Linked DNA regions of Lonchura striata. Each later gene encodes a partner of the first gene's protein in a complex. Links are inferred from orthologs where the notes say so. Each region holds a gene or a part of one and is shown on either strand. Other genes may lie near its edges.

Evidence for each region.
Region 2: the proteins of CAST (region 1) and CAPNS1 are in contact, whole or in part, in a crystal structure (PDB 3BOW), measured with the Rattus norvegicus proteins. The link is inferred for Lonchura striata from reciprocal best matches to the Homo sapiens genes CAST and CAPNS1. Residues at the interface, in NP_445747.2 of Rattus norvegicus: Pro652, Ile653, Asp654, Ala655, Leu656, Ser657, Asp659, Leu660, Asp661; in NP_058814.1 of Rattus norvegicus: Phe103, Leu106, Gln109, Leu110, Ile125, Lys128, Val129, Arg132, His133, Leu136, Phe166, Trp170, Lys174, Gln177, Lys181.
Region 3: the proteins of CAST (region 1) and calpain-2 catalytic subunit are in contact, whole or in part, in a crystal structure (PDB 3BOW), measured with the Rattus norvegicus proteins. The link is inferred for Lonchura striata from reciprocal best matches to the Homo sapiens genes CAST and CAPN2. Residues at the interface, in NP_445747.2 of Rattus norvegicus: Glu571, Leu572, Asp573, Ala575, Leu576, Asp577, Glu578, Leu579, Ser580, Ser582, Leu583, Gly584, Gln585, Arg586, Gln587, Pro588, Leu596, Asp597, Asp598, Lys599, Val600, Lys601, Glu602, Lys603, Ile604, Lys605, Ala606, Glu607, His608, Ser609; in NP_058812.1 of Rattus norvegicus: Glu62, Leu63, Ser68, Lys69, Gln99, Gly100, Ala101, Leu102, Gly103, Trp106, Lys161, Asp162, Leu165, Leu166, His169, Ser196, Gly197, Gly198, Thr200, Ser241, Asp243, Ile244, Thr245, Asp249, Ser250, Glu251, Ala252, Val253, Val259, Lys260.

The regions. Positions count from the first base shown.
Region 1 is NC_134642.1:81,128,133-81,135,529, reverse strand, and holds the start of CAST (calpastatin), read right to left. Parts: upstream 3,014-7,397; 5' UTR 2,941-3,013; coding exon 2,899-2,940; intron 1-2,898.
Region 2 is NW_027461156.1:31,526-38,825, reverse strand, and holds the start of CAPNS1 (calpain small subunit 1), read right to left. Parts: upstream 3,014-7,300; 5' UTR 3,001-3,013; coding exon 2,966-3,000; intron 2,130-2,965; coding exon 2,096-2,129; intron 1,190-2,095; coding exon 1,100-1,189; intron 108-1,099; coding exon 50-107; intron 1-49. UniProt on the Homo sapiens protein: Regulatory subunit of the calcium-regulated non-lysosomal thiol-protease which catalyzes limited proteolysis of substrates involved in cytoskeletal remodeling and signal transduction. Essential for embryonic development.
Region 3 is NC_134607.1:21,350,416-21,358,311, reverse strand, and holds the start of calpain-2 catalytic subunit, read right to left. Parts: upstream 3,014-7,896; coding exon 2,777-3,013; intron 2,008-2,776; coding exon 1,938-2,007; intron 1-1,937. UniProt on the Homo sapiens protein: Calcium-regulated non-lysosomal thiol-protease which catalyzes limited proteolysis of substrates involved in cytoskeletal remodeling and signal transduction. Proteolytically cleaves MYOC at 'Arg-226'.

The DNA.
Region 1 (7,397 bases):
CTTTGCTATCCCTAAACTCAAGTCAGACACTAAAAGCATGACATCTTCCCTCCAGAAGGCAATGTCAAACAGCATCTATAATAAAGACTCTTTGACTCAGTGGACAAATATGTTTATTCCAACTCAGGGAAACAAAGCACATATGGTCAGACTAGAGTAGTTTTTTTGGGTTTTTTTTTTTTTTGTTTTGTTTTGTTTTTTTTTTTTTTCCCAGTAAGTTGAGTAATGCACTGTGTACACACAGAGCCCTGACACTCACTCCCTGGCCCCAGATAATAAAACAGCCTGTGAAAGTACTGCCTTGCAGGAAAGTCTGCTGTCCTGAGGAGGTAACCTGAGAAAGCACAGCTTCACAATGTACCTGGGGAAACCATGCTGGTTCCCAGAACAGCTGGTGAATAAGGTATGATGAGGGATCCCATTTCAATAACGCCCTTCAACAACTCTTTTCTTATCTGAATTTTCAAGCTTTGAACACTCCACTAAAAATAGGGAATATACAAAAAGAAATAAAACAAAAAAAAAAATGAAAACCCAAACAAACAACGAAAAAAAACCCAAAAAACTCAAACCAAAACAAAAACCAACCAAAGAAAATAAACAAAAAAAAACAAACAACAACAAAAATCACCAACAACACAAAAAAAGAAAAAAAAAAGGCAGTAAATCAATCTGCTTGGCCAGAAGGCCAAGCTCAGGTTTTGTGGGACAGTGTACATCCACTGTTCCTTCATATTCACAACTCATGATGACAAGCTGACTTTCTTTGGGCAATCTTTCCTTTTCCTGCTCAAATTTCAGTGCCAGAGACACAGATTCAAAACCAAGGCACTGGGTCAGAGCAGCTCCAGCTTTCTTACATCAACAGTGGGCATACAGCTGAAGTGATAATTTTAGTTTAATTCATGATCTAACAATTCCTTGTAGCTTTTAAGCCAGCTCGAAATATTTTCCAACCTTACTAACTAAAAAAAAACCAAAAAAACCCCAAAACCCACACAATCCTACCCATAATCACATATCCACAAAAATACATAAGTGTCATGAGGAAGAAAGTTTACACTGAGATCTTCATCCTGTTTTGAAGTGCACAAAAATGTCACCACACTATTAAAACACACCTTTAAACTTCTGACTCAAACAGCACTCATAAACTAGAGAGTAACTGGTGAAAAAGCACAAGAAAATTGCTAACAACTGAGCAGACACCTATGTGCACAAAAATCCAATCATCACTAAAGGCTTTGCTTGCAAGAAATTCCTTCTAAACCTCAGGAGATTCAGAAGGCATTAACAAGCCTTTGGTTTAAGGCCACTGCGCAGCATCTTGGAGGACTTGCAGTAACTGGGTGAGAAGTGAAGTCTTGCAAGATTCTCAGCTTAAGTCAATCAACGCAGTATTACAGATATTTAAGGAGATGGGAATCTGACTTTTGCTCTCAGCTGGAACTGGGAGAAGACAGAGATCTTTGACACTGCTTGGAAAACTATCAGATGCAAAGAGTTGCAAAGACTGTAGCAGGGGAGCTACAATCAAGCCAGGTAAGGAATGGAAACGTGAAACCCAGATTCTTATTGCATTCAATCCCAGCTTTAAATACACCAGCCAGTAAAAACCTTAATGTCCTTTGTGTCTGTCCCTCTCACCCACCTCTCCTGCCTCCCTATGCACGGGAGAGGACTCCAGTCCCACAAGTGCCAACAATCACAACCAGGAGTTTCCAAAAGAGCAGCTGTGGGAGCAGTTTTCTTACCTCATCATACACAGCCATATCTTGATCTCCTTTCTTCACTTGGATGCAATGACACAGAGCTAACGAGGCCTTTTACATCCATTCCATAGCTTAGTGCAGTAATTCTCAAACTTTCCCCTTTGTGATTTTGTGTCACCTCCACCACACTTGACTTAATACAATAACTGGCACCCGAAAACACTGATCCAAGCTACAAGAAGCAACTTAAAAGTACAGTTACAACTTCAAGAGGTTTCATCTACCTTATCACACATTTAGGAAATGCATTAAAGTGATATTTTCTCTGAAACCAACATTTCACAACACACGCTTTCCGTAAAACTTTAACAGAATGCAGGCTTTTTTTTCCTTTTCACCATTCCATACAGAGGCCAACCACTTCCTCCTAAGCGTAAGCAACCATAAAGGTTTCTTAAAGGCTTTTTAAAGCCTTTCAAAGCAGTCGCAGGACCCAAGTCCATCCGAACCACACGGAGAGCTGTGGTTAGCTCGGGGAGGACAAGGCAAAGGCCGGCTCCTGCCGTGCGCAGCACGCTCCCGGGAAAAGGCGCAGCACCGTTTTCCCCAAAACGGGAACATCCCCGCATAAAACCCTGTCTTACGCGTTCCGCCGCGGTTTCATCACCCCGCGAGCCTGCCTCACTCGGGCGACGGGCGAAAACTGCCAACAGCACCAAAAACTCCAGTTTCCTGCGTCGCTTTCTCGGACGGGACAGACAGCTGGCGCGCACCGCGCTTCCACCCGACCCGAAGCAGCGGGGCGTTTTGTTTGAAAAGGCAGCCGCACCACAACCCCCTTCTCCACCCCGAACGCCGGGGAGCGGCGGGAGCATCGGGAGCGGCATCCCGGGGCGGTCCCGGCTCCCCACGGGGGTGGTCCCGGGGCTCTCCCCCGCACTCACCATGGCGTACCACCAGCGGGCGAAAGCCATGGCTGCGGCTGCTGCTGCTGCCCGCGCCGCCCGGCACTGCCCGGCCCGGCCGGGGCGCGCCCAGGGCGGTGCCGGCGCCGAGCCGCTCCCCCGCGGGGCACCGGGGCCACCGCCGCCCTCCTCACGCCCCTCACCGCACCGCCGCCCTCCTCACGCCCCTCACCGCACCGCCGCCCTCCTCACGCCCCTCCGCGTCCCCGAGCCCGCCTTACCGCCGCGGGCGGCGGCTGCCTGCCCGTCCCGGGCGCCGACATGCCGATCCCGGGCCGATCCCGGCGGCTCGCAGCTCCGCGGGCGGCTGGAGAGGCCGGCGGTCCCTCCCCTTCCTGCCGGGGCCGAACCGGGACGGGGGAGCCAGGGGGGCCGCGAGTGCGGGCGGGACGGCGCTCAGCTGCAGCCGGAGTGGCTTTTTTTAAAACAGCCTTGTTTTGGGGGGCTGCTCCTCAGGGCACAGGCGTTCTTCTGCTCACGAAAGTCGTTCCCTTTGGGAAAGCGTTTGGGTGTCGACAGCCGACCCAAGGTGGCTCCAGGCTCCATGGCAGCCCATGGCAAGGATTTTGTCTTTCCCCCGAGATGGAGCCGGGCGGAGGGTGCAACACCAGGCTCCTCCGTCGGCCTCTCGCCGGCTCCTCTGCCAGCTTGCCTCCGAATTGGGCACCCTGTTCCTATGACAGCCTCCTTCCCCAGCCATTGCATCCCTGCAAGCCATTCTACCTCAGCTTCTCTCTGGCTCCACCTTGGCCGTCACCTTGGTGTGAACTCATTCCCACCACACAAACGCGGTCGGTTTGGAAATTGGCCGCACATCCCGTGGTTTGGTGCGGTGCTAGCCCTCACATCCAGGGGATCTGATGCAGGTCAGGTTATGAAATGGAAAACACAGGTGTTGCGTGCAGGAATGGGCACAGTTTGAAGAGTTTGTCTTGTGGCGTTGTGTGCAGTAAAAGAAGTCAGTGTTTGGGGTGTTGTGTGCCAGGGAGCCCCAGGCTCAGGCTGGATGGGTGGAACAGCTGTTGGATGAGATGCGCTGCTCTGAAGGGGTAACAGCAGCAGCTCCTGACCACATCCTTGTGTCAGGAGGCCCTGTCTATAAGCAGAAGGAAGTAAAAGTGTCCAAGTCTTTAGGGAGTTCTCATCAGCCGCTTCCTTGGGGAAGAGGCTGTAGGACTAATCCGCATGGTTGGAAGCCTGTAGAATCAATTAGTGCCTAAGCCCTCGGCTGTCAGACCTGAGAAAAATGGGTGAGGCCTCTCCTCAAGGTATTGGGAAATTACTTTTTTCTGCAGAGGGAGGGGGAATGTTCACAGCCATCTGCCTAAAGCCACCCCTGCATTTACTTTCTGATGTCAGCCTGTGACACTTTGCCAAGGTGCTCCAGACGGGGTGGAGGTGAGGGCCATGTTTAAAATGCACAGCTTCCACACGGGGCTGGCGTGTGCAGGTTTCCCTGGGGTCACTCTGACAGGTCTAACAGATTGTGCTGCATTCCTCCAGCTGGCTGCAGGCAGCAGACCCTCCCTGCTGGCTCCAGGGAGCCCTCAGGAAGCGTCACCCATCTCAGCGCCTGATGACAAACAACTGGATCTGACAGTAATTGGAGTGGTGGAGCTGCACAGGAACAGGGCAGTAGCAGATGAAACCTTCAGTGATGTCAGCCTGCATCATGCTGGATATTCAGGGCTCTGCTGACCCAGAAGCACATCACCCATTCCAGCTCTGCTGGTAGGTTCAGTTTATAAAGGAGGTCTAAACGCTGCTGCAGGAAGGAGGGAAGCTGCCCAGACACTTGCCCCAGTTCCTGCAGTTGTTGCAGTGTTTTGTAAACTGGTTGGGCTCCATCCAGACTTGCAAGGAAATCTTGCTTTAAGGCCAAGGGCTTGGCATTGTTGCTTCTATTAGAAGGCTCCTCTAGCTTGCTTCAAGAAACCATTGTTTATTGGCAATTTCTTCCCAAGTTTATTCTTAGCTATATGTGGTTTATATGAAAAGCATGTAGGCAGCACATATTTACCTGGAGATGGAGAAGCAGCTTCTTGTTTGTCTGACAGAAGGAGAGTCAGCTGATGGATGCCTGAGTCAGCTTTTTAAGCACTGAAGGCCTAAACACCACTCCAACAGTTTACTCATTTGGGTGAAGATTTGGATGTTTGAGTAGAACAGTCATAATTATCCAAGTCAGTCTGACACTTACTATCATTAACTAGGAAAAAATAAGTTTTCCTTGCAGCTTGCAGCAGCATACAAGTGTTTGGTATCAAAATCAGTGTTTTCTGTCACGGTTTCTACTTTTTCTTTCAGAACATCTGCAAGTGAACAAATCCACTGAGACTTGCTGAGATTTTGCATGGCATTAGCCATGGAGTTCTGCACAGGGCTGATCAGAAACAGATACAAGTAGTGATGGACAGCAGAAACATCAACTGTTTTTTCAATGTTTATTGGCTGGAAAAAGAGCAGATGACCACATCAGGAGCACACAGGTTGTTCTTTACTGCAATGATGTGTGATGTAGAACAAGTATTCAAAAAGAGGTTTTGTGCTTTTAATAGTAATGGATACATTTCCATGTAATTCAAGATATTAGGAGTCTAAAATTGGAATGGAGAATCACAGACTCATTTTCCCCACCATGTCTCATCTCCAAAGGGCACGAATTGACGTCAAATGCCTCCCAATAAAAAGGTGCACTAAATTCTGGCAGGATAGGATGAAATTTTTGCCAAGCATACATATTTTATTAATATAACTTGCATAATGATATGACTGCAAGCTTATGAGTCATTCACAAAATCTACAAAATAAAGTACAAAATCTCATGTGTAACTGGATTTTTATCTAGGGTAGTTTAAAAGATGTCTTAGTATTAAAACTAGTTAAAAATAGTTCTTTTAAATTTCTTTCATCCTCTTCCTGTGTTTTACGAAGAAACTCACTGCAAGTTTTTGTTCTCTTGTCTTCCTCTGAAACCCAAAACCATCAGGATTAACTTTATTTTTCTTTTTAATTTGATGTGTTCAGTCCCACCCTGTATAGTGACACCCACAACAACAAAGACAGAGAAGTACATTTAATTTCTTCTCCTGCCATTTTTGTTCACAGCATGTTCAGTAAATGGAAATTGGAAATTTAAATAACGAAAATTCTATTTGTTGATAAGCCTTGTTTGATGACATTCTTGTTCTAGAAAGCAATAATGCCAATCCTAACTATTGAAAATAAAGGTTTATTTCCTTATCTATGGATACATGTAGTTTTGCACGTTATAAACACCTGATACCATATAAATTTTATGTCCTCTGCTAGTTTAGTGCAGTCTGAAGATTGCCTGCTGGACTCCATTCCACTGCTAAGTGGGGATTTCCTCCCCTGTGACAGAAGACATAAACTTTGACACCAATCAAGAGAAAATTAGGGAAACCTCTAACCTTTTGTAATATTTTGATATTACAGAATATCAAACCTCTTCCTTGAGGTTTGATGTTTTGTAATTCCCTGAATAGAGCCAAACTTTAACTAAAAAACAAAACAATTTAAAAATTAATCTTGAATAATTTCTGAAGCCAGATTTGAGTGATATGTATGGCAGTATCTATCTATGCAAATTTTCTCCTTTGTTACATTGAAATGCAGCAAATCCCAAAGTTTAGTACAATGTATCACATACAACCATGAGGGGAAATAAATTAAATTTTAGCCTTCATCATCCAGGATTATGTTCCACCCACCTATGTTTGGTCCTCTCCTCTCTCCCCAGTTTCTACTGGGGAAAACAAATGTGCTGTCAGTTCTGGGACTCAGCAGAAATTCAAGGTAATTGACTTGAAAACCACACTACAAATGAAGCTTCTAGCAAACCACAGGTATTTTTCTGGGTTGGATACAGATCCAGATGAGGCTGTGACCCCGAAGTGAGTCCAAAAGGAAGAGCAGCACAATGCGTGAGGCGTTGCCCAGTGAATGTCAAACATTGCAGCTATGCAGGAGTGGCCAGCCTGCAGCTCACGTCTGTCTGCTGGCTTTATCTGAAAAGAACTTTCCCAGTGTCAGGCACATTATCTCAGGTGTAAACTGATTTTTGAAACTACAGAAAAATGTATGGACTAGGCCTCATTTATTTTTATGAGCCTGATTTGTAAATATTTATACATATGAAAATGACAATGCCATTCATCTTGGATTCTTAAACTGTAGAGTGGTAGGTAGAATTCTGTCGGTAGAAATTGCAGATTGGTGAGTTCTGTGAGAGGTGAGACAGAAAGCCTTGTGTATTAGAAATATACTTTAAACTCTTTATACACTAGGGTTTCAAAATCAATAGAAATCCATGCTCACAAAATAAAACACATCACTTTTAAGTACAGCTTACACTGTCAACATGCAGATTTTTGGAAAAAGTTTGATCTGTTCCAAATCATAAAATCCATGCAAGAGATTAAAAATACCATGTACTCTTTGGACATTTTTTCATATAGTCTCCATTTTCAGTAATTTGCTTGAGACTGATAGCGTTCTTTCCAATGCCACAATGATTGTCCTTAATTATCAAGGTGAACAATGCTCCCCTTAGGGCAGTTCCCTTCTTCATGTGAAATTAATCCTGAGATTCTTGGTATTAAGAGGCTCCCCAGAGGAAAGGTTGTGAAAAAGATTTGTGGTTTTATGAACTGCATCTGGTAAAAGAAGTTAAAAATTGTCTGTTTTGGTTTGCAGA
Region 2 (7,300 bases), on another chromosome or scaffold:
ACCCCAAAATCCCCCCCCAAGCCCCCGGGGGTTTTTGGGGGGCACTCACGGCGGGTGACGACCCTGTTGAGGATGTTCATCAGCTCGGTGGGGCTCACCTCCATGTCCTGGGGGGAACGGGGGGTCAGGGGGGGCTGCGGAGCCCCAAAATCTTGGGGGAACCCCCGAAATCCTGGGGGAGCCCCCGAAAGCCTGGGGGAACCCTCGAATTCTTGGGGGAACCCCCAAAATCCTGACCCCGAATCCTGGGGGAACCCCCAGACCCTGATCCCCTTAAAGTCTGAAGACTCCCAAATCCTGACCTCCAAAAACCCCAAAATCCTGACCCCAAATCCTGACCCGTCTCCGCAAAGTCTGGGGACCCCCAAATCCTGACCCCGAATCCTGGGGGTACCCCCAAATCCTGACCCCGAATCTTGGGGGACCCCCAAACCTTGGGGGTTCCCCCAGATTCTGACCCCAACCAAGAGGTTTCAAGGGATCAGGTGGATCCCAGTGTACCCCAGTACACCCCAGTGCACCCCCACGGATCTGGGGGTCCCGGGGGTCCCGGGGGTTGGGGGTGCTGGAGGTCGGGGGTCGGGTGTCCCAGGGGTCCCAGGGGTCGGGGGTCCCGGGGTTTGGGGGTCCTGGGGTCGGGGGTGTTGGAGGTCAGGGGTTGGGGGTCCCAGGGGTCTCGGGGTCGGGGGTCCCAGGGGTCAGGGGTCCCAGGGGTCGGGGGTCCCAGGGGTTGGGGGTGCTGGAGGTCGGGGGTCCCGGGGGTCCTGTGGGTCCCAGGGTCGGGGGTCCCGGGGGTCCCAGGGTCAGGCGTCCCAGGGTCGGGGGTCCCAGGGTCGGGGGTCCCAGGGTCGGGGGTCCCAGGGGTCCCGGGGTCGGGGGTCCCGGGGTCCCAAGGGTTGGGGGTCCAGGGGGTTGGCGGTCCCGGGGTTCCAGGGGTCGGGGCTCCCGGGGGTCTCTGGGGTCGGGGGTCCTGGGGATTCTGGGGGTCCCGGGGTCCCAAGGGTTGGGGGTCCCGGGGGTCCCGGGGTCGGGGCTCCCGGGGGTTGGGGGTGCTGGAGGTCGGGGGTCGGGGGTCCCGGGGGTCCCGGGGGTCCCTCACCTCCCCCGCCAGCTGCGTGAAGAGGCGCCGGAACTGCCGAACCTCCTCGCTCTCGTTGGCATCGACCGTGGAGATGTGGGCACGGGGGGGCTGCGGGCACCCCGAAAACGGGGTCAGGGCACCCCGAAAACGGGGGGTCAGGGCACCCCGAAAACGGGGGGTCAGGGCACCCCGAAAACGGGGTCAGGGAACCCCAAAAACGGGGTCAGGGCACCCCGAAAACGGGCTCAGGGCACCCCGAAAAAGGGGTCAGGGCAACCCGAAAACGGGGTCAGGGAACCCCAAAAATGGGGTCAGGGCACCCCGGAAACGGGGTCAGGGAACCCCAAAAATGGGGGTCAGGGCACCCCGGAAACGGGGTCAGGGCACCCCAAAAATGGGGGTCAGGGCACCCCAAAAATGGGGTCAGGGCACCCCGGAAACGGGGTCAGGGCACCCCAAAAATGGGGGTCAGGGCACCCCAAAAATGGGGTCAGGGCACCCCGGAAACGGGGTCAGGGCACCCCAAAAACGGGGTCAGGACACCCCGGAAACGGGGGGTCAGGGCACCCCAAAAACGGCGTCAGGGCACCCCGAAAACGGGGGGCAGGGCACCCCAAATCTGGGGTCAGGGAACCCCAAAAACGGGGTCAGGGAACCCCAAAAACGGGGTCAGGGAACCCCAAAGCCTGGACCCCAAACCCGGGGGGGGGATAGAGGACCCCAAATCTGGGAGGGGGACACGGAAGGGAGACAGGGGACCCCAAATCCGGGGTGGGGGGGGACAGGGGACCCCAAATCCGGGGTCGGGGGGGTCAGGGGACCCCAAATCCGGGGTTGGGGGGGTCAGGGGACCCCAAATCCGGGGTGAGTGGGACAGGGGACCCCAAATCCGGGGTGGGGGGGTCAGGGGACCCCAAATCCGGGGTGGGGGGTCAGGGGACCCCAAATCCGGGGTGGGGGAGTCAGGGGACACCCCGAGGGTCCCCAGGGAGGGAGGGGGCGGGGGTCACTTACGGGGGGCTCGGGGTTGTAGTGGGCGGCGGCTTCGCTGTGGGGGGGTGGGCAGAGGGGGTCACCCCAAAATGTCACCTGCCCCCCCAAAAGTGTCACCTGCCACCCCAAAATGTCCCCCCAATGTCCCCAACCCCCAGTAGCCGTCAGTGTCCCCCCCAATGTCCCCAATCCCTCCAACCCCCCCAGTGTCCCCAATGTCCTCAAATGTCCCCAATGCCCCCCATGTCCCCAATGTCCCCCCAGTGTCCCCAATCCCCCCAATGTCCTCAAATGTCCCCAATGCCCCCCCAGTGTCCTCAATCCCCCCAATGTCCCCCCAATGTCCCCCCAATGTCCCCCCAATGTCCCCAGCCCCCGTGTCCCCCGCTGTCCCCTCACCTGATGGCACTGATGACGCCCCCCAGGACCCCCAACCCAATGTCCCCCCAATGTCCCCCCAGTGTCCCCAACGCCCCCAATGTCCCCAGTGTCCCCAATCCTCCCAGTGTCCCCAATGTCCCCAGCCCCCGTGTCCCCCGCTGTCCCCTCACCTGATGGCACTGATGACGCCCCCCAGGACCCCCAACCCAATGTCCCCCCAATGTCCCCCCAGTGTCCCCAATCCCCCCAATGTCCCCAGCCCCCCCAATGTCCCCAACCCCCGTGTCCCCCGCTGTCCCCTCACCTGATGGCGCTGATGACGCCCCCCAGGACCCCCACCCCAATGTCCCCAATGTCCCCCCAGTGTCCCCAATACCCCCAGTGTCCCCAATGTCCCCCCAATGTCCCCAGCCCCCCCAATGTCCCCAGTGTCCCCAATCCTCCCAGTGTCCCCAATGTCCCCAGCCCCCCCAGTGTCCCCAGCCCCCGTGTCCCCCGCTGTCCCCTCACCTGATGGCGCTGATGACGCCCCCCAGGACCCCCATGGCCCCCCCGGCGCCGCCGCCGCCCCCCCGCTCAGGAGCCCCCCCAGGACGGAGCCGATGCCCCCCGGGAGGCCCCCCCGGACCCCCCCCCACCGCCCCCGCCCCCCAGCAGCCCCTTCACCAGGAACATGCCGGACTGGGAGCTACTGGGAGGCACTGGGAGGTACTGGGGGGCACTGGGAGCTACTGGGAGGGCACTGGGAGTTACTGGGAGGCACTGGGAGGTACTGGGGGGCACTGGGAGCTACTGGGAGGTACTGGGAGGGCACTGGGAGCTACTGGGGGGTACTGGGAGCTACTGGGGGGTACTGGGAGGGCACTGGGAGTTACTGGGAGGCACTGGGAGGTACTGGGGGGCACTGGGAGCTACTGGGAGGTACTGGGGGGCACTGGGAGCTACTGGGAGGTACTGGGAGGGCACTGGGAGCTACTGGGGGGTACTGGGAGGTACTGGGGGGTACTGGGAGAGCGCTGGGGGGCACTGGGAGAGCGCTGGGGGGCACTGGGAGCTACTGGGAGGGCACTGGGAGGTACTGGGAGGCACTGGGAGGCACTGGGAGCTACTGGGAGGGCACTGGGAGCTACTGGGAGGTACTGGGAGGGCACTGGGAGCTACTGGGAGGTACTGGGAGGGCACTGGGAGCTACTGGGAGGTACTGGGGGGCACTGGGAGGTACTGGGGGGTACTGGGGGGCACCGGGAGTTACTGGGGGGCACCGGGAGTTACTGGGGGGCACCGGGAGTTACTGGGGGGGCACCGGGGCGGCACTGGGAGCACTGGGAGCGGCTGGAAGAGAAGCAGACAGCACCGTTAGGCGACACCCGGGGTACCGGGGGGGTTCCGGGGACCCCCCAGACCCTCCCGGGACCCCCCGGGACCCCTCCCCGGGCTCCGGTCCCGCTCCGGTGCCGCTCCCGGGCGCGGCTTTCCGGGACTGGGCGGGGCCGCGCTGAGTCACGGTTTGGGGGGGGGGGGAGGAGAGCACCGGGAGGGTCCCGGGGGGTCCCGAGGGGTCCCGGGGGGGTCCCGGGGGGGTGGGGGGGGTTCGGTACCTGCGGGAGCGGCGCCGGTCCGGAGCGAGCGCGGAACCGGAACGGGGAAAGGGGCGGGGCCACGCGGGGGGGGCGTGGCCGGGGAGCCGCCCGGGGGCGTGGCCTCGGTGGGAGGGACCAATGGGGGCGCGCCCTGGGCGTGGCCAGGGGCGGGGGCGTGGCCTAGACGTTCATATCTCCTCTAATAGGCGGGGTTAACATGGGGGGCGTGGCTAACTCCTTGATTGACAGCAACGCCCCTTAGCGCCCATCAGAGTGGGCGTGGCCAGACGCGTGATTGACAGTCGGGCCCGCCCCACAGGGCGGGGTTATGCAGATTAACGGTGAATACCAAATGAGTCACGGCGTGACGTCACCGCCGCGCGCCGGGACAAGATGGCGGCGCTGGGGGGGGAATTTTTTGGGGGAGGAATTTTTTTGGGGAGGAATTTTTTGGGGGAGGAATTTTTTGGGGGAGGAATTTTTTGGGGGAGGAATTTTTTGGGGGGTTCCCTCCCCCACCCCCACCTCACTTTTGGGGTCTCCCCCAATTTTGTCCTCCCCCATCCACTTTTTGGGGTTCCCCCCCCCCCCCCCCAAAATTCCCCCCAAATTTGGGGGGTCCCCTCCCCCACTCTGAAGTCTCCCCCTCCCCCCATGTCCTTCAGCAGTTTTAGGGTCCCTCCGTGTCGCCCCATCCCAAATTTTTCCCCCAAAAAATCCCTTTTTCCCCCATTTCCCCATTTTCCCTCCTATTTCCCCCATTTCCCCCCCACAATTCCCAATTTTTTTCTCCATTTCCCCCATTTTCCCCCATTTTTCCCCCACTTTCCTCCTTTCTTTTCCTAATTTTTCCCCCTTTCCTCCCATTTCTCCTGTTTCCCCCCATTTTCACACATTTCCCCCATTTCCCTCCCAAATTTCCCAATTTATTTCCCCATTTCCCTCCATTTCCCCAATTTTCCCCCAATTTCCCTCATTATTTTCCCATTTTTTCCCCATTTCCCCCATTATTATCCCCATTTCTTCCCATTTTCTGCACTTCCCCACAAATTCCCCCATTTTTCCCATTTCCCCCATTATTTACCCATTTCCCCCCCAATTCCCCCATTTCCCCCCATTTTCACCCTTTCCCCCCCAATTTCCCCAATTTTCCTCACATTTTCCCCATTTTTCCCACAATTTTTCCACATTTCCCCCACATTTTCCCAATTTTTTTCTCCATTTCCCCAATTTCCCCCATTTTTCCCTATTCCTCCCATTATTTTCCAAATTCCCCCCCACAATTTCCCCCATTATTTTCCCAATTTCCCCCCATTTTTCCGTTTTCCCCCAAAATTTCCCCAATTTTTCCATTTTCCCCCAAAATTTCCCCATTTCCCCCCAAGATTTCCCAATTTCCCCATTTTTTTCCATTCCCCCCAAAATTTCCCTATTTCCCCATTTTTTTCCATTTCTCCCCAAACTTTCCCCATTTCCCCATTTGTGTCCATTTCCCCCCCAAAATTTCCCCATTTTTGTCCATTTTCCCCCCAAAATTTCCCCATTTTTTCCATTTCCCCCAAAATTTCCCCATTTGTTTCCATTTTCCCCCAAAATTTCCCAAAATTTCCCCCCAAAATTTCCCAAAATTTCCCCCCAAAATTTCCCAATTTCCCCATTTTTTCCATTCCCCCCAAAATTTCCCTATTTCCCCATTTTTTTCCATTTCCCCCCAAACTTTCCCCAGTTCCCCATTTGTGTCCATTTCCCCCCAAAATTTCCCCATTTTTGTCCATTTTCCCCCCAAAATTTCCCCATTTCCCCATTTTTTCCATTCCCCCCAAAATTTCCCCATTTGTGTCCAATTTCCACCAAAATTTCCCCATTTCCCCCCAAAATTTCCCAATTTCCCCATTTTTTCCATTCCCCCCAAAATTTCCCTATTTCCCCATTTTTTTCCATTTCTCCCCAAAATTTCCCCATTTCCCCATTTGTGTCCATTTCCCCCCCAAAATTTCCCCATTTTTGTCCATTTTCTCCCCAAAATATCCCTATTTCCCCAGTTTTTTTCCATTTCTCCTTAAAATTTCCCCATTTCCCCATTTGTGTCCATTTCCGCAAAAAAATTTCCCCATTTTTGTCCATTTTCCCCCTAAAATTTCCCAATTTCCCCATTTTTTCCATTCCCCCCAAAATTTCCCCATTTGTGTCCATTTTCCCCCAAAATTTCCCCATTTCCCCCCAAAATTTCCCAATTTCCCCATTTTTTCCATTCCCCCCAAAATTTCCCCATTTCCCCATTTTTTCCATTCCTTCCAAAATTTCCCCATTTCCCCATTTTTTTCCATTCCCCCCAAAATTTCCCCATTTCCCCCCAAAATTTCCCCATTTCCCCATTTATTTTCCATTCCCCCCCCCCCAAATTTTGCCATTTTCTCCCAATTTTTTCCCATTATTTCCCCCAATTTTTCCATTTTCTCCCAATTTTCCCATTTCCCCCCGAATTTCCCCCAATTTTCCGGTACAAAGGATTTTATTGGTGGCAGAAGCGGCTCCGGGGGGGCCCATGCGGCAGCGGGGGAGGGGAGGGGACATTTTTTGGGGGGAGGGGACATTTTTGGGGACATTTTTGGGGACATTAAAGCCACTGACACGAGCGGGGGTGGGGGAGGGGCGTTATTGCTCCTGCGGGGGTGGGGGAGGGGCGGCCAGGAGGGACCCTCTGGGACCCCTCCCCCACCTCGGGCCCTGGTTTTGGGGAGGGGTCGGGAGGGGGGGAGAAAATAAATAAATAAATTCTAAAAAAAAAAAAAAATCAAAATTTTGATATTTTTTGATCGATATCCCCAAAATATTATCCGGGAAAGGGGCGTGGCATCAATTCCCGACGTTAATTAATTCATTCATTCATTAATTCCGGAGAGAACAGCCCTAATTATTTTACTGGGGGGGGGGGGTGGATTCACCAAAAAAAATTTGGGGAGTGGTGGGCGTGGCATGGATCCCCCCCCCAAAAAAATAATCGATAAATTCCGGAGTGAACAGCCCAAAAATTGGGATTTGGGACCCCCAAAATGGCCCGGGAAGGGGCGTGGCCTCAACCCCCTTAATTAATTATTTAATTGATAGATTCCAGAGTGAAGACCCCCGAATTTGGGGTTTTGGGGGGTCTGGCCCCTCCCCCATCGCTGTTATTGGCAGGTTTGGGCCCAAATTTGGGGGTTTGGGGGGTCTGGGGGGTTTTGGGGGGTCTGGCCCCTCCCCCATCGCTGTTATTGGCAGGTTT
Region 3 (7,896 bases), on another chromosome or scaffold:
CTGTAGAGATGCTGGTTTCTGGAATCACTTAGATGCTTTCTGGTTTTCTAGCTTTTCTCTGCAGATGCTGTGGCAGCAAGAGCATAGGAATGAAAGATTTGAAGCTTCGTTTTCAAGTTGTGAAATTGCTGTTGCTAATACCAGACACTGTTTTTAAATTGATGAAAGCATTTGCTGCCCTAGTGGTCTTTGGACCAGTCAGATGTTCCCATGGGGTTGTATGGTATCACCAGAGGATATGAAGTGACTCACAGCTGGTATTTTTGTACCTCCTGAGTATATCTGAATCAGAGGTTGTCAGTGTTCTTGTTTATATTTCCTCTTTCACTGTCTCTAAGTACTGCAGTGACTCTCCTGGCTGTCTTCTCATGAATCTGGGCAGGATTTTGGTCTTGTGTGACAACTGTTGATTAAAAATTAGATGCTTTTGATCTTTTCTCTGTATAGCCACTGAGTTCCTAAGAGCCTGGATGGAATCTCTGTTCTTTCACACAATGGGGCTGGCAAATGCACTGTACAAATTCTTTTTTTTTTTTCAACTGCCTTATCTGACACTAGCATTTGTATTGATAAATTTGCCTAAGCTTGCATTTACTTGATCTTTGTATTTACTTTTAGTGTCCATGTCCCATCACATTTTAGGATGTTATAGAGAAGATTTCATTGGAAGATATCAGGTGCTTTTGGAAACCTGTGCTTTTTATTATACTGCTTCTTTTCTATAGGAAGCTTTTGCAGTCTAATCCCTCAAAGGCTTGATCAAGAAGCAACAGACCTGTGCCCATGGGGAGTTTCACTGCTGTTGCTGAGCCCTTCAGATCATCTGGGAGTACTGCAGGGAGAGATGGGGCATCCAGAGCACATGGACTCATCACATCTGCAGGGCAGCTTCTTGGCAGGAAATGTGTAACCAAACAGTTCAGCTAATGAGCAGGGTTTCTTTCAGCTCAGTAATCTTTGGCCAGGTGCATAAATTTGTTTAATTGTGTTTCACCTGGACTATAAGAAACTGTGATCCATGTAAGGCAAAGCTGATCATCAGTGCAGAAAAGGTTTTCCAGGCACCAAATTCTTCCCCTTGGGATTTGGATTATCCTTTATTCTGGCCTTGTGAAGTTTTTTGGTTTTGGTCTGTTGTTTTTGGTCTGTTGTTTTTTCCTTAGGAGAAGCTTTTGAAGGAGAGTATTTGGAGTTGGTTTTGCAGTATCAGATCTGCAAAGTCAGTGATGGTATTTGGCTCCAAATGGCAGCACATGGGATGTAGTGACTCATTACAGCTGAGGGGAGGTTCCAAAGCCAGAGAAGCCTGGTTCACCCTTAGCCACCTTTTTCTGGAGTGGATGTCACCATGGTATCACAACACTGGGGTGTAAACAGCACTGGATCTCCCAGCTGCTGTTTGGATGCAGGTGTCTCCTCCTCACGTAACAAATCACAGGCTGGCCCATTCCTCCTGAAACACCCAAGTTTTGTCTTCCTCAAGAGCCGGTGACCCCCATACAACTTTTCTATCTACAGCATCTCCCCAGATTTCAGGAGATTCCTCCTGCCCAGCAGAATTCTCTCCCACTGGGGAAAGAGAAGTCATGCTACACACACAACTGCTCTTCCAAGCAGACTGTTAAAGGCAGAAATGAGTCAGGCTACTCTCAGGCATATGGATTTGAATGTGAAAGGAACAGGATATGATCAGAAAAACCATCAGGAAACCAGTGTGTCCCACCCCTGCTTGGTGCATGCAGAAAGACTGTGCTCAGTAACCACACTCATGGTCCCCACCTGCAAATGCCAAGGAAACATGAGAAAGGTCTGATTTGAAATGAATGGAGGTGGTAGGATGCAAAAGGAGGTATTAGAGTGAGTTACAGCCATGCGTAAACCATGTTGCCCTGGGGCAGCACCTGCATGGAAAACTCAGGTTTCTGCCCCCACCTTACCTAGGGCCCCTTGGCAGATGTCCGTGCGAGTGGCTCCGCCGGCTATGAACTGGGGGTTGGGAAACAGCTCCTGGGAACAAAACAGGCCTTGCATTACACGTAGCCACAGGTGAGGCAGGGAACAAGGCCACACTTGCAGCAAATTAACCAAACCATTGACCACGGGAGATGAACACCACAGAGATGGAGCAGGGCAGGAGCGGGTGCGGGCACCACACACACCAAGCACAGTGAGAACGGGAGCTGGTGACCAAAGCTCGTGTGCGGCCAGCTCACTTCACAGGACGTGCCAGGAGGTGCACTGCATTTCCACACATGTGCACACGCTGCTCTGCCATTACCTCCCCACCACTGACTACACCAAGGTCCTTCAGAAGTGCCTGGAGGCACCCTGGAGTCCTCCTGATCCCATGGCTCCCATGGCTGGCAGGGCTGCTTCGGGAATAAACCACACGGTGGTCAACTCACGGCTCTGCTGAAGGAAAGAGTTATCAGAAAAGACAGCCCCAAGCGCTACCCAAAGCGGTTTGTCCACACGGAGAGTTCTGGATGGAGAGGAAAATGACTTTTCTGACTTGTTTTCCAGGCAGAGCAAGTCACGCTGCCAGGCTGTCGCCAGAGCAAAGGGGATCCTCCGGTGCCCCGAGCATCCGCAGCTGCACCAGACGGGCGCGATGCTGCAGGACGGGAGGGCTCGCACCGCGCTCGGCAGCCGCGCCCCGACCCGCCGCCCCCGCACCATCCAATCCACCCAAATTCACGGAGCGAGGGAAGGAGGAAGCCGGGTGATACTGCAGAACGATGCTACCGGGGAGCCCCCCCATCCCCCGCCGCCCTACCGTGGGTCTGCGCCAGACGACGCCCTGTGTCTTGTGCGAGCGGGGCCCCAGCTCCCGGTAGCCGAGGGCGGTGGGGCCGGCGGGGAAGGAGGGGTCCTGGAAGAGCCGCCCCTCCTGCAGGCACTCCTGGCGCAGGGTCCCGAAGCGCTGCCCCAGGTAGGGCACAGCGCGGCCGTGCCGCCCCGCGCCCGCCGCCGCCGCCCGCTCCTTCGCCAGCGCCTCCGCCATCCCCGCCATCGCCGCCCCGCCCGGCCCGGCACAGAACGGCCCGGCCCGGCACGGCGCGTCCAGCCCCGCCCGTCAGCCCTCCGCTCCGCCCGGTGCCACGCCGCTGCTCAGCCCCGCCGCACCCCCGCCTTGGCTCGAGTGGCTCTGTGCCGGCAGCCGCGGTCCGAGCAGCTTCCCCTCCCGTGCCTCCAGCTCGCTGCCCCGTGCAGGAGCATCGCTGCCTCACTGGGCGCCTCAACAGCTTCACACCTGCTGGTGATCCTATTGCCACATGTACGCATCAATTCAAGAAAGCTGGTATTTTCCGTGTAAAAGCCAGAACTATCCATATAAATTCTCTAAGTTTAGGGAAAAAAATAAAAAAACAAAACAACCCCCCCCCCAATAAATTTTCTAAGTTTAGGGAAAAAAAATAAAAAAAAACAAAACACCCCCCCCCCCAAAAAAAAAACAACAACAAACAGACAAACAAAAAGGAAGGGAAAATATGTGTCTCGAATCCCACTATGGTATGTCTGTACCTGTGTTGTCACCTTGTTACAACTTTGAACATCGCAAGTAACAGAGATCACTTAGAGCCTGATTTGCTGGTGGTCACCACAGCACATGTTTTGCCACTGCTGGTGTGGACCCACCTGCACTCCCGGCACAGCCCAAACCACAAACAGTGAGGTTCCCCCCAAGCTTCCCGAAACACCTATCTGTGGTGTGGGGGGAGAGAGAGTCTCTGTTTTTGCAGTGAGTTGGCTGCCAAGAATGGCTGAAATGCTGCTGCTGGCACCCGCATAGAACAGCAACTCTCTGAGGGAGAATTCAAACCATTTGTTTCATATTTTAAGTCTGACTCAGGATGTGCTGGTGCCAGGCAGTGTTCCCTGGGCAGCACACAGAGGCCGGGAGCCCTTCATGCTGCACCCACCGCCCACAGTGGCACCTCTTTCTGCAGAGTTTTCCAAGTCCTGGATGCATGAAACAGTGCTTTGGAGCCATCCTATCTGACTAAAATGAACATTATTTCTTGAAGATGCTTAAACAACCTAAAATTACTGGCAGTACCATTTGCTGAGGTGTGGTGGGGAGTTTTCCTTCATTGCTGGTGCATGATTCTCCAAACCATTGTGTATCACTGTCCGTTTGCTTGCTAGTTTTGCACTTTCATCATTTATTATTCCTCTTCCTAAGCTCAGAACAGGTCCTACTTGCACAGTTCATGAGAAGCCATTGTCATTAAACAGGAAAAAGAGCTAAGCATTGCCCATTCCGTTCCCAGTGTAGCAGAGGAAGCCCCCAAAATCTATTTGAAGTTAGTCACTAATGGTCTGAGCAGCACATGTCTGTGTAGATCATGGCCACGCAAGAGGACAGCCCAGTTGTCCAAACCTGGAAGGCACAGTCCAGCTTCACTGTTCTTTGAAGATGCCTCCTGTCCCCTATGAGTCAGAAAGGCTCTCTTTATAAAGAGAATATTGGAATTTCTAGCAGTATATGGGAAATCAATCACACATGGAAAGCTGGAAGCAGAACCAGTAATGTTACATGCACTCAATTGAGGGTGTGCTTTTAGCCTAGCATAGGTCTCCAGCATGGCTGTGCTGAAGCTCGAGGAGGACACAGAGTGGCATTGGAGGATGGTTTTGCTCAGCTGTTTAGATTTGTTAAGCACTGCTGAGTTATCTCACAGGCAAGGCCATCTCCTGGACCAGGAGACAACAGCACCTCACCACCTGGAGTTTAATCGGCTGTGTTGCATCCTAATGTGAGGGATCTGGGAGCCATAGAGCTACTCAAAAAGTGTTTCTTTGGCTCCATGCAGTGCCTTGAGTCTGTACAGCTGCCACAGGTCAGATTTCTCTGGTTTTACGAGAGTCAGGGTTACAGGAAACCAGAGTCAGTTCAAAGCAATGGTTTCCACTCACAGTTTTGGTTTGTGAACACTTCTGCTCTAGCTATTTTCCAGCAGATGCAGAAGTTTGAGCTGGGTTGAAAATTTGACATATAATTGCTTTTCTTAGCTATCTCTACCACAGTGGAATCTGCTGGCGGCTGAGAACCTCTGCTGGACAGCAATCAAAACCAAGTGTGTGCAAGACTCTTACCTGGCTGCTCTGCTCAGTCAGAGCTGCCAGAGTTTTCTTAGAGTATCTGTGGTGAAATGAGGGTTAAGACTGAGACAAACAGTAAATGACATGAACAGAAGGGAACAAAGCCAGAAAGAGACTGAACCAGCAATGATTCAATTAAGCAGGGGGAGAGGGACCTGGGCAATGATGGAAAGATGTATATTTGCCAGCCAGGCTTGTTAGATGGTCCCAAACATATAAGGACCATGCTGTCCCATGTGGTTTAATGACAGGATAAGGATATACTGGTGTAATACAGAATTTCTCTTGTTATCTGGGAAGTTGGCTGTCCCAGCAGCCATCTGAATAGCCCCTGCCCACCAAGTCCTCTGCAGCCAGGTAATTCACCTGCTTCTACTTCCAGCACAGCAGCAGATGTGGATGGGAGTCCACAGTTTGAGGGAAGGAAGTTCTTTTGAGCACTACACCAGCCAATTTCTTCATTTTCTACATACTCACACAATGCACCCATTTTTTTTTTTTTTTTTTTTTTTAGAGAAAGAGGTGATTTCCACTTGACTGTGAGAGCAGTGTAATACTCTTAAGTAAAAATAGCAGTTCCATCAATAGTTACCCACTTTTGTCTCCCTCAAACCAGGCAATATCAGAAAGAAAAAGAAATCAGATTTCTTCTTAATCTCCCTGTACACCTGTAGCTCTTCAAAGAAGTCACCAACTCACATTTTGCAAGTGAGTGATTTCAGCTTTTGCTGCAGCAGCTCATTCTAGCTCCTGATAAGGAGCATCCAGCTGCCATTCACAGCATGGAGTTTCAGGCAGGATAGGCTTCTCTTTCACTGTGCCCACACTCAGCAATTGTGAGTAACCCAGAGCTGCTTTGCTTTGCATCATCCCTCCTCTCTCTTGCTCCTCTGTCCTTTCTCTGTACATGGATACTGGGGAACAAATGACTAACAGCTCAGGAAGGGAGGAAAGGACCCGTGCACCTTCTGGGCTCCTGTTCTCCTTCCCAGGAACTGCCCCCTCCTCATTAGGATGAGGGTGGTTTCCCAGGGGAAGAAGCTTGCAGTAGCAGTAGTAGTATTTCAAGAGGAAGGGAATTGCTTTCCTGTCTGAAGCTGGGATCTGGAGAGGTACTGAGCTTTCCCCAACATTACAAGCTGGCTCCAGCCCTGGCCAGTTCAGTGTGAGGTGTCAGAAAGACCTGGGTCATCCTGCAAAATCCAGCTATCCTTCCCAGCTTCCTTCCCAGTGCTGAACCATCATTCTGGATCAGCCCAACTCATGAATTACTCAGGCATTACTTCTGCAGGATGTCATCTTTCTCCTCCTCAGGCACCAACAATTTCATGGCTTTTATAAAACAACCAAGCAGTATCAGAGCTAATTTTAGATGTGTTTCCCAATAGGGAAACTGCCAGGCTTCTTGTGGCAACCCTTCCCTCCCCAAACACTCAGATTAAAAATTGCAACCTTTAAAACAATAATCTTAGAGACAAACATTTAGGAACTTTCATAGCTCCCAATGGTGTTCCTATTGATAGTCACTCCATTGTCACAGTAATAGGGTGGATAGGAACCCATACATATAGAATATGAGAAAACAAGCTCTCTGAATGAAAATGATTTGTTTTTATGCTGCAGGGCCTACAGTAAGTACAGTGAAGCAGGTTTAATCCTCATCAGCCAAGTGATGCAGTACAAGAGAGTCCTCTTATTTCTCTCTAATGCTCTATATCAGAAACATACCTGAAGCTGCTGGGTAATCAGCAGTTATTTTCTTCTAAAGATTTCCCCATTTAAAGAACAGTCCTGACTGCATGGAATTTTCAGTCTCTTCTTTGAAATTCAGGTGATGCATTTTTCTGGTTTAATTGGTTCTTCTTTATTCCCCTTCATCCTCTCGCTATCATCACGAAATGGGGAGAGGGAAAGGAAAGCAAGAAGAGCCAGGCAAAAATATGCAAATCCCAGAGGCAACAAAAGTGAGAATAATTGTTATAACTATTAACCCTAAGGGTTAATGCCACTTCAGCAGCAGTATTTGAGTCATGGGGAACCTTAAATTTTTTTTCCTCCTATAATACAGCTGTCAGCTATTGCTGTAGTCAGCTATAGTCTTCATCATCTCCTTTATAACCTCTAGATGGTGCTTGTGTATCACATTCTACACAAAATAAAACATGCTGCTGCTAATCAAGCTTAGAAAATGGATTTGAAGTGCTGTGACAAATCACTGGAATCAAATAGTTGTGGTGGGCACACTAGGTGGTCACCAGGTCCAAACCTCCCCCAGAAAAAGGGGTTGTCCTCAGCCTCTTTCCAAACATAAAAACTGAAATTCATTATTAAAATCTGATAGTATTATAGAATGGTTTGTGTTGGAAGAGACCCTAAATATCATCTTGTTCCAGCTCCCCTATCATGGGCAGGGGCACCTTTCACTAGAATAGAGTGCCCAAAGGCTCATCCAACCTGGCCTTGAACACTTCAGGGATGAGACACCCACAGCTTCTCTGGGAAACCGGTTCCAGAGCGTCACCATCCTTACAGTGAAGAATTCCTACTTAATGTTTAATCTGAACCTCCCCTCTGTCAATCTGAAGATACATTCCTGTTTGTCTTATCACTACAAACCCTGTAAAAATTCCATCTCCAGCTTTCTGGTTGCCGCCTTTAGGACCTGGAAGGCGCTCTAAGGTCTTCCTGGAGCCTGTTCTTCTCCAGACTAAAAAAAACCCTGTTCTCTCAGGCTGTCTCCAGAGTGGGGGTGATCCTACCTTTCATCTGTCTTTCCCTGTTACACTCTGG